2 linked regions of the Mus musculus genome follow. The protein of the gene in region 1 binds, or shares a complex with, the protein of each later gene. Links are inferred from orthologs where the notes say so. Each region holds a gene or a part of one and is shown on either strand. Other genes may lie near its edges.

Region 1 (4,309 bases):
TTCATTACCAATCACTTAGCTACAACTAGTACTTCCAAAACATGAACTAAATATAAATATAACAATCAGATCTACAGGATGAATAGTTCAAAGGATGACCCCTAATGATAATAGATTCTTAGATTTAATTTTCTAATAGAATAAGAAACAACACTTCAATAGAACTGTTATACACTCCTAATTAGCTTAAATGATTAGAAAACATATTTCTACTAATTGGTAATTAGCCCATAAAATTTGCCCACTAGTCGAATTTCCCTGAACCATTATGTAATGAGGAAACTAAGCAAACTTCGAATGATTCCATTTCTATTGATGCAACCGGCAATGCATCGACTTGCTGTACCTAATGTAGCATGAGGATTGCTGAACCTCATGTAGCATTAGGAGGATCAAGCATCATTTAAGACGATCAGCACAGTACATCTAAGACAGCGAATGCCATCTACAGCAAAGACATTTTACCCCGAATGGCTCTACATAGGGAATACTCAGCTTCTCTTTATACCCTAGTTATTCTGTGAGGCAAACAGAAAGATTTTTTTTCACAGCTTTGTACTTGGGATATCTGACTCAACCACTTTCAGAACAAAATGAATTTGTCTTTTTTCCCCAAAGTTTTCTTCTTTGCTTTACTGATCTCTCAAAATGTATACTAATAAAATTACCTTAATAAGTTTAAAGTAGCGGGGCGTGGTGGCGCACGCCTTTAATCCCAGCACTTGGGAGGCAGAGGCAGGCGGATTTCTGAGTTCTAGGCCAGCCTGGTCTACAGAGTGAGTTCCAGTACAGCCAAGGCTACACAGAGAAACCCTGTCTCAAAAAACCAAAAAAAAACAAAAAAACAAAAAAACAAAAAAAAAAACAAAACAAAAAAAGCAAAACAAAAAAACAACAACAAAAAACCCAAAACAAAAAAAGTTTAAAGTATGTGAACAAATGGGAAATTATACTGAAGTCTGAGAGATAGACATTTATGACTTTTTCTCAAAAGTTATTTTAAAATAAATTATTCATACCATGTTTTCTGGACACTTTTTACAAATAATAGAAGGTCCTCCATTATTAGAGATCATATGATATCCTGGTAGACATACACAGGAAGTTCCTGAAAAGAAAAAGAAAAAAAAAAAAACAAAGCTGATATTGTCCTTAGCAAACAAAACTCCAAGACACAAACTTAACAGTTCTTAGGATTTTGAAGCTTGGAGTGGTGGTGTATACCTGTAACCTCAGTATTTAGGAGGAAGAGGCAGGAAGTTCAGGCAGTACTTCAAGGGTATCCCTGCTCACAGACAGTGCGAGGCCAGACTGGGCATTATATGAGAGACAACAGGTGTCTTTGTCTGTCTGTCTCTCTGTCTGTCTGTCTGTGCATGTATATGTGTCTATGGGTCTGTGCGTATACATGCAAACACTGAGTGGGTTAATGAATTCTATACTTCGGCTTCTTGTTTAGTAAAATGGAGAAAAAAACAGGACCTACCTAATAGGGTCAAAGTTTAGAAATATGTCTGGCATCATGTTGCTACTTTTTAAACTGCAATTATTATTGAACTATGAAAACTACTTACTTGCTCTAGGAATTACATTTCTGCATCACTAAACCATATGTATGTGTGTTTAGTGAGTTTTAATTTTGTCAATATCTTATTGGAAAATTGCTTTCATTCAAATACTCTTTCTCTAGAAAGAAAATAAATGTTGTTTGTAATTACAAGTAGACTCAGCTAGTTAAAGAAAGAATTCTCTAAGGACTAAGTAGAGCCAGCACCTGTAGGAGTCTATGTACAACACACACGTCTTCATTCATTGTCATGAAAGCAATACAATGCAGAACACGTTTGCTCTTCACACTCCATCTTCTGACACAGTGATCCGCACTGCCTTAAGTGAGACTCTACCAGGCCTAAAGCAGGAGAGTTAACCAGTCTGAGATTCACAGCATTTTAGACTTCAGTAAATAGGAAAAGACTCATTCTGAGTAGTTAAGGGAGAACTAGACCAATCGATGCAATTAAGTCTAAAAGGACAATGTGAGCAAACAGAAGTCATCAACAATAAAAGGGACAGGTCCTAAGGGAATATGTAACCACAGATGCAAAGCCACGCGCTGGGAATGCAGAGGTAGAAAGTGAGGGAAGCCAGGTGTCCTGGCCCACGCCTTTAATCCCAGCACTCAGGAGGCAGAGGCAGGCGGATTTCTGAGTTCGAGGCCAGCCTGGCCTACAAAGTGAGAGTTCCAGGACAGCCAGGGCTACACAGAGAAACCCTGTGTCGAAAAACAAAACAAAACAAAAAACAAAAAAGAAAGTGAGGAAGAGACAAGAGTTCTCTTAGTTTCCAGTATATGTCACACAGATGTCACAACATCTCGGTTTCAGTTTCCTTTGCTTACAAAATCTGATTATAGTCACAGTTGCAAACAGCTTTAAATATCTTGAATTTGGAAGTAGAATTAATGGTCACAAGAGTTTACTAATTCACATTTCTTCCCTTGCTTTCCTGTCAGGGTACCTCACTAGACGCCTCAGGTTATTTCTTTTCTATTTCTATTCTACTTTTCTTAGGCGGCTTTCAGGTGCCATCCTAAGGATTCCCTGCCAGAGACTGACTCCGGGGAATGAGTTCCTGGAGGAGGGTAGGGTGGTGGCGCCTGGGTGACTGATCTCATTGTGTCAGCCGTATCCTCCCAGGAAACCCTTTCTTAGGTTTGATAGCTGTGCATTTTCTGAAACATTCTCCAAATAAAATGTCTGGAGTGCTGGCTGTCAGGAGTGCTTTATTTTGGTCAGAGTCCATCCACCCCCAAACCGCCTCACCTAGTGCATCCCGCCGCTGGTTGGCGCCACAGGGGGCACAGGAGAGCGCCGAGATGTCAAAGTACTGGTTGAAGTCGCAGGTCTCAGGCCGCCGGAAAGGGAAGGAGAAGATTTGTGCCCATGAGACTTCGCAGAGAACTAAGAGAAGGTAGGCGGTGCCAGTCCGGGATGAAGAACGAGATCTGACCGCCATGGCCGCCACAGGCCTTGTACGCGTCACCATGGTACCCATATCCTGGGTCCGCAGTCTCCAGCTCCCCAGCAGCCTCCTCGGTGAGTCCGCTGAGCTGATTGGACAACAGGGTTCAGAAAAAAAAAAAAAAAAAAAAAAAAAAACTCAACCTTGCGACGCCTGGTTGCTAGGTTACCACGCACGCGGGAAACAATGGATCAGACATATGCTAAATAAATTAGGGGCGGTTATTTAAAATGTATTTAAAACTCTGGGACGCAGTCAATTTACCGTGTCAGGAAATACTACTACAGCAATGGAAAATATATGGTTTTAGCACTTAAAAGTGTTTCATGAAAGTGGCAATCACACCTACATGACAGTTTACCCAGGGGATTAATTTTGACAACAAAGGAGGTGCCCTATGTTTTTACTTTTTTTGTTTGTTTTGTTCTGATTTTCGAGACAGGGTTTCTCTGTATAGTCCTGGCTGTCCTGGAACTCACTTTGTAGGCCAGGCTAGCCACGAACTCAGAAATCCCGCCTGCCTCTGCCTCTACAGTGCTGGGATTAAAGGCGTGCACCACCATGCCCGGCTTTGTTTTTACATTATTTAAAAAACACTAAGGGTAGGGATTGTTTCAAGTCCTGAGTTTGAGTTTTAGCAAAGCAATACAAACAGAAACCCTCATTGATTTTATATATAATACCTTTATGACAAAAGTCTAGGAGAAACCTTGCCTACTGAATCTTGATTTCATACTTTCTCTGTATTGTGCATAAAGCACCCTACATATACACCTCATCTCACTTGGTTTGAGAACCAAATTTGGATATACATGAATATTGCCTATTAAAGTGCACAGCCTTGCAGACTGTTAGCGCAACAATGCCTAATAAAAGCCTCATTCTCCCTTTCTCCCCTGTCCCTGGTTCTCCTCCCTCTCCCAGAGGATAACTCTATTTCCCATCCCAATAAACCCCCGACTGGAGAACTGCCACATAGTGTGATTGTTGGGAATTGTCACATACACCTAACAGCACAGTAATAAAAGGTTGAAGGGATGCTTTCTGTAATACATACTTTAGGTAAGGCAGCCCGAAGGCCTGTTGTAAATACAGCTTGCTTTTATCTGCCTATGCAACTGCCCTGTTTTTCTCAGGTTTAACAGAAATCACAGGAGAGGATGGAAAACTCTGCAGCTTTCCACTTCCAAAGCGGTTCATTATGATGAAAAGAAAAAAAAGAAACCTTTTTGATTTGTATATTTTACAATTGCCTCACATCCCCGCCCCCCAGTGGAAGTTTTCAGGG
Region 2 (4,582 bases), on another chromosome or scaffold:
AGCAGAACACCTGGTCTTATTGCCTGTGCCATTCATACATATTTTTCAATCACTCCTGAAGGATGAAGACCTACAAGAGATGGAGGAGTTAGCCCAGAAAATGGAGAGTCAGTTTGGCCAGTTTTTTGATCACGTGATTGTGAATGACAACTTGCAAGATGCATGTGGCCAGCTGTTGTCCGCCATACAGAAGGCTCAGGAAGAACTGCAGTGGGTGCCAGAGGCATGGGTTTCCCCTGACACTGAATCTTAATCTAGTGTCCTGCTTAAAGCTGGAAGCTTCATAGTGTGCCCTAAAGATCCGGAATAACGGCTGCCATTGAAAACAGCAGTGTTTGACCCATTAGAACTGCGACTATGAAGTCCTTATTGTATAGCTATAAATAGCATCCTATACATATACAGAGCTACTCATTTGGCTCTCAGGCATTTTCCCGATGTTTCCCCATATGAGCTAATGGCAGGTATGTGACAATGTTGTCACTGAATGTGAGCATTTTATAGATTTCATATGGTGTTTTGTAAGATGTAACTCTTCTAAATAAACCAGTCTACTTAATGACAAACTGTATTTTACTTTGTAAAATATTTTCTTATTTCTGTTTATATTTTACAAAAGTGCCTAGTTGACTAACTAAGCTAAGAGCGGTTAACAAGTACACATTTATCTAATAAGGAAACCTATGACACTGTTATTTCCAAATCAGCAAAGTGGACTAGTCCTGGAGCCTGTATATGAGCTCCAAAACGAGGATGTTGATACAGTCTTGGTCTCCCTAGATCCGAAGCTCCACTGCACCCATGTCTGTTCATCTTCTTTATATCCACACTTCCCTCCATTCTACCTATTTTAAACTATAACTGTTCCCACTGAAGGAACTATCAGAACTGAACATTCAGATTATACTCCTAGGCCTACAGGGAATCTAGGAAACTGGGCAGGCCAGTGAAAGAGATCCTCGCTGTTTCAGTCATACAGATCTCCCTCCAGGCAGCACCCTGGCAGACGGGAACCAGGTGGGGGACGCCGGCCTCTCCAGGCTCCGCAAAGCCGCCTCCTCCCACAAGTCCCCGGAGGCCGGGCGTCGCGGGAAGCCGGCCTCGGGCTCCGGCGGTTGCGCCTAGGGAGGCCCGCGGGAAAGCATCATGAGGGACGACTCAGGGCCTCCGCTGGAGGAGGACCAAGCGGTGAGCGACGAGGGGCGCCTGGCCCGGAGTGTGGCGAAGTGGAGGTGTCCTAACCAGCAGTGACCACCGCCGAGCCGGGAATCTGGGGACAGCACTGCCCGAGGGGTGCGGCGGGGGCGGACCGGGGCTGTACATCAGGGCGGGCCCCGCAAAAGGCGATCAGGTCCACCCAACATCCGGGCGCCCTAGTCAGCGTTGCCATGGCGACGCCTCCGGGCGGCTCTCGGTCAGAGAGGAGGATGTTCCGGTGGGGAGTTTGAATACGAGTCTGGTCCCGCCGTGCCCACCCCCACGCAAACCACGATGACCTCCCGGGAAACTGTGGGTGAACCCCCTCCGCTCCTGGGGACGCCGGCCGACGCTGAGGTTTTCCTAGTTCGAAGGGGTCAGATTGGGTTCGGCTCCGGTAGCCCCAATACCTCCCGTGGGACGGGTGGGGACGCTCCGGGCCCAGCAGCCATGAGGCGCAGCCCGATGACGCTCTGCGCCTGCGCGCCTGGGCAGGAGGGGCGGGGCGGGCCGGACCGGGGCGGGGCGGGCGGCTGTGGTGCCCTGAGCTCTGCTGCGGTCCCTGGAGACGTGATGGGGAAGAAGCAGGTGGTTAGCGAGCCTCAGGTACTTTTGAGCTGTTGGGAATTTAGTCTCCGCCTGTTCAGCGGTTCTTCTTTTGAGGGGCTTAGAGGTGCGGTTTCTAGATGGGTGAGATGGTTCATTTTTGCGGGACTTTTGAAATACCAAGAGGACTGGGTCCCACTTTCATAGCATCTTGAGAATAGTAGTGCTTTTGTAGGACCACCATTCTATTCCAGTTGTCATTTTGACTGCTGGATTCCATTAGGACATCGTCAGTGTCCTAATTTTGTAGCATTCTCACGAATTTGTTTGAGTGAATACAACCATGGATTGCGAAATGGGACAAGCAAGAATATCTAAAATGTGAGCCTTTGGAATCAGTGCCTTCCATAAGCAGCATGAAATACCCGAGCTAATAAATCGACGTCTAGGCACTGCTCTTAGAGATCAATTCTTTTAAAGGTGTATTTGTAGCCGGACAGTGGTGGCGCACGCCTTTAATCCCAGCACTTGGAAGGCAGAGGCAGGTGGATTTCTGAGTTCAAGGCCAGCCTGGTCTATAGAGTGAGTTCCAGGACAGCCAGGGCTATACAGAGAAACCCCGTCTCAAAAAAACCAAAAAAAAAAAATGTATTTGTTTTGAGTGTTTTGCCAATATATGAACCACTTGTGTGCCTGTTGCTCACAGAAACCTGAAGAGGCTGTCCATTTCCCTGGAACTGGAATTACTGGTGCTTTGTGGGTGCTGGGAACTAAACCCAGGTCTGCTGCATGAGCAGTAACTGCTCTTAATGGCTAAGCCATCTATTTTGAAAATTTTCAGAATGCTTAACTAATGCTTCCTGAGCTTGCAAGCAGGACTTTTCTTAAGTAAGAACAGGGTAAACTACACCAGCCCCAAATACTTCCTGTTCTAAAATATGTTACCTATTTCTATTTAAAGTAACTTAAAAAAAAAGCATGTTACTCTGTGGCATAAAACCTTAGTTGGCTTCCTAGTTAATAGAACTAAATCCGTATTCCTTCTGCTAGTCTGCGAGGTCATAGTTAATCTGACGTCTGCCTTCTGTCCTGTGTCACTGGTTTCTGCCTGGCTGCTCTTTACCTGGAGCCCTTCATGCCCTGTCTTTCTTGAAAGCCTTAACATGTGCTCCTCATTCCCTGTAAATTTGGCACCTTTGTCAGGAAGGGCTCAGCTCAGATAACATCAAAGAGGCTTTCCCTAAGTAAAACATCACTCTTCATTCCTTATATATGGTTATTTATTGTATGCAAACACACATGCACATGCATGCACACACATGCATGCACAGACACACACACAAGCATGCATGCACACACATTTATATGGCATGGTCTAGTTTTATCTGAGCATGCAACATTATCTTCCAATACTTAACCACTAATGGAAGGTCTGTAAAGGGAGATGAGCTCTGTTTGATCCTGTTCTGAATGCTCACAATAGGCCAGACTGGTTGAAGTGGAAGAAGAAAAGAATTTTACATGGGGTGTAGGAATGGCAGAATAGATCTAAACCCAGCAGTCCAGTTTACATCACCGCCTCCCGGGTTTCACTGATAATCTTCCAAAGATTTGAAGAGAATTGCTGATCCATTTTATTTGATAACATCTGGACAGTGGGCTTTTAAAGGAGAAGCTTTGTGGTGCTTGAGATAAATGAAGGTGAGGTTAATCCAGCTTTTATTGACGAGATGTTTGCCTCTCCCCTCCCCTATAGCGTCCTCCACGAGCACTCCCACCTGTGCCAAGGTAAAAACAGTTTACGGTCATTTAATTATTGAACTTTAAAAATATAAAGTAAGAAGAAAAAAAAAATCAAATAGTATGGTTGAAAACCTACAATACTTCATTAAAAAAAAATCCTTCCTGGAATTTTAAAAAGTCTTCCTAAGAAGTGAGTGGTAAAAGTTAAATTCAAATCATGAGAATAATTGTTATGAATAATTACAGAAAGCTGTCACTCTAGCACGGTGGAGGAATGGGTCTGTCCTGGGTGTGCTGATTCTATTTACCAGGATTCTCCAAGGCCCTCCTGTTTGTGGAATATTCCATCAGAGCTTAAACCGATTATAACCGGTGACAAAGAAAGTTCTTAATCTGCTTAGTCCCTCTGATTAATAGACAGTAGGGAATGTGTATTTGTGCTTTCAAAATACTTTTAGCAGTGCTATTAAACAATATACTATTTACAAATAATAAGCTAGTTTATAAACTGGCTAGCAGTATGTAAAAGCTAGTTTTATTTTTAAAGTTGTAATGATGTAAGTCAATTTTTAGCTAGACAATAAAATAGATATCCAATTAATAGTTTCTTTTTTCTTTCTCTCTCTCTCTTTCCCCCCCCCCCCCTTTCTGATTACATTTGGCCGGGGTCACGTGAAGTGCTATCCAAGGTGAGTTAGTTTACTGTAGTGTAAACAGTCCTAAATGCATTTGTTGTTCTGAAGTAAGAGTGAAGATGAGTACACTGGCTCTTACGAGCCTACCTGGACTGCCTAGGTTTCAAGGTAGGGACAGTGGCACACACCTGTAGTCTCAGGCCCTTGCAGGCTGAGGGAGGAGAGCTGCTTAAGCCTAGGAGTTGACGGCCAGTGTGGGTAACAGTCAGCCCTTGCCTCAAAATGATGATGATAATAATTTTCACAATCTTCCGTGACTGCCATTTGAAAGTCATGTGTGATATACAGTAATAAGTTGCTCTCTGCAGTTGCCTTGACTTGTTAATAGCTCTGTAATAGACAGTACTTTTTCTCTTCTCCTTCAGTCAGGATAGGCAAGGTTGTGCTACACTAACAACTCC

What was found.
Region 2: Tmem67 (region 1) and Tmem237 share a complex: the UniProt entries of both Homo sapiens proteins name them as parts of the tectonic-like complex. The link is inferred for Mus musculus from reciprocal best matches to the Homo sapiens genes TMEM67 and TMEM237.

What each region holds. Positions count from the first base shown.
Region 1 is NC_000070.6:12,084,893-12,089,201, forward strand, and holds the start of Tmem67 (meckelin precursor), read right to left. Parts: upstream 3,046-4,309; coding exon 2,823-3,045; intron 1,109-2,822; coding exon 1,020-1,108; intron 1-1,019. UniProt on the Homo sapiens protein: Required for ciliary structure and function. Part of the tectonic-like complex which is required for tissue-specific ciliogenesis and may regulate ciliary membrane composition.
Region 2 is NC_000067.6:59,116,924-59,121,505, reverse strand, and holds the start of Tmem237 (transmembrane protein 237), read left to right. Parts: upstream 1-1,699; 5' UTR 1,700-1,770; coding exon 1,771-1,803; intron 1,804-3,499; coding exon 3,500-3,531; intron 3,532-4,164; coding exon 4,165-4,175; intron 4,176-4,582. Other genes in the region: Mpp4 (MAGUK p55 subfamily member 4), read left to right, coding at 62-253. UniProt on the Homo sapiens protein: Component of the transition zone in primary cilia. Required for ciliogenesis.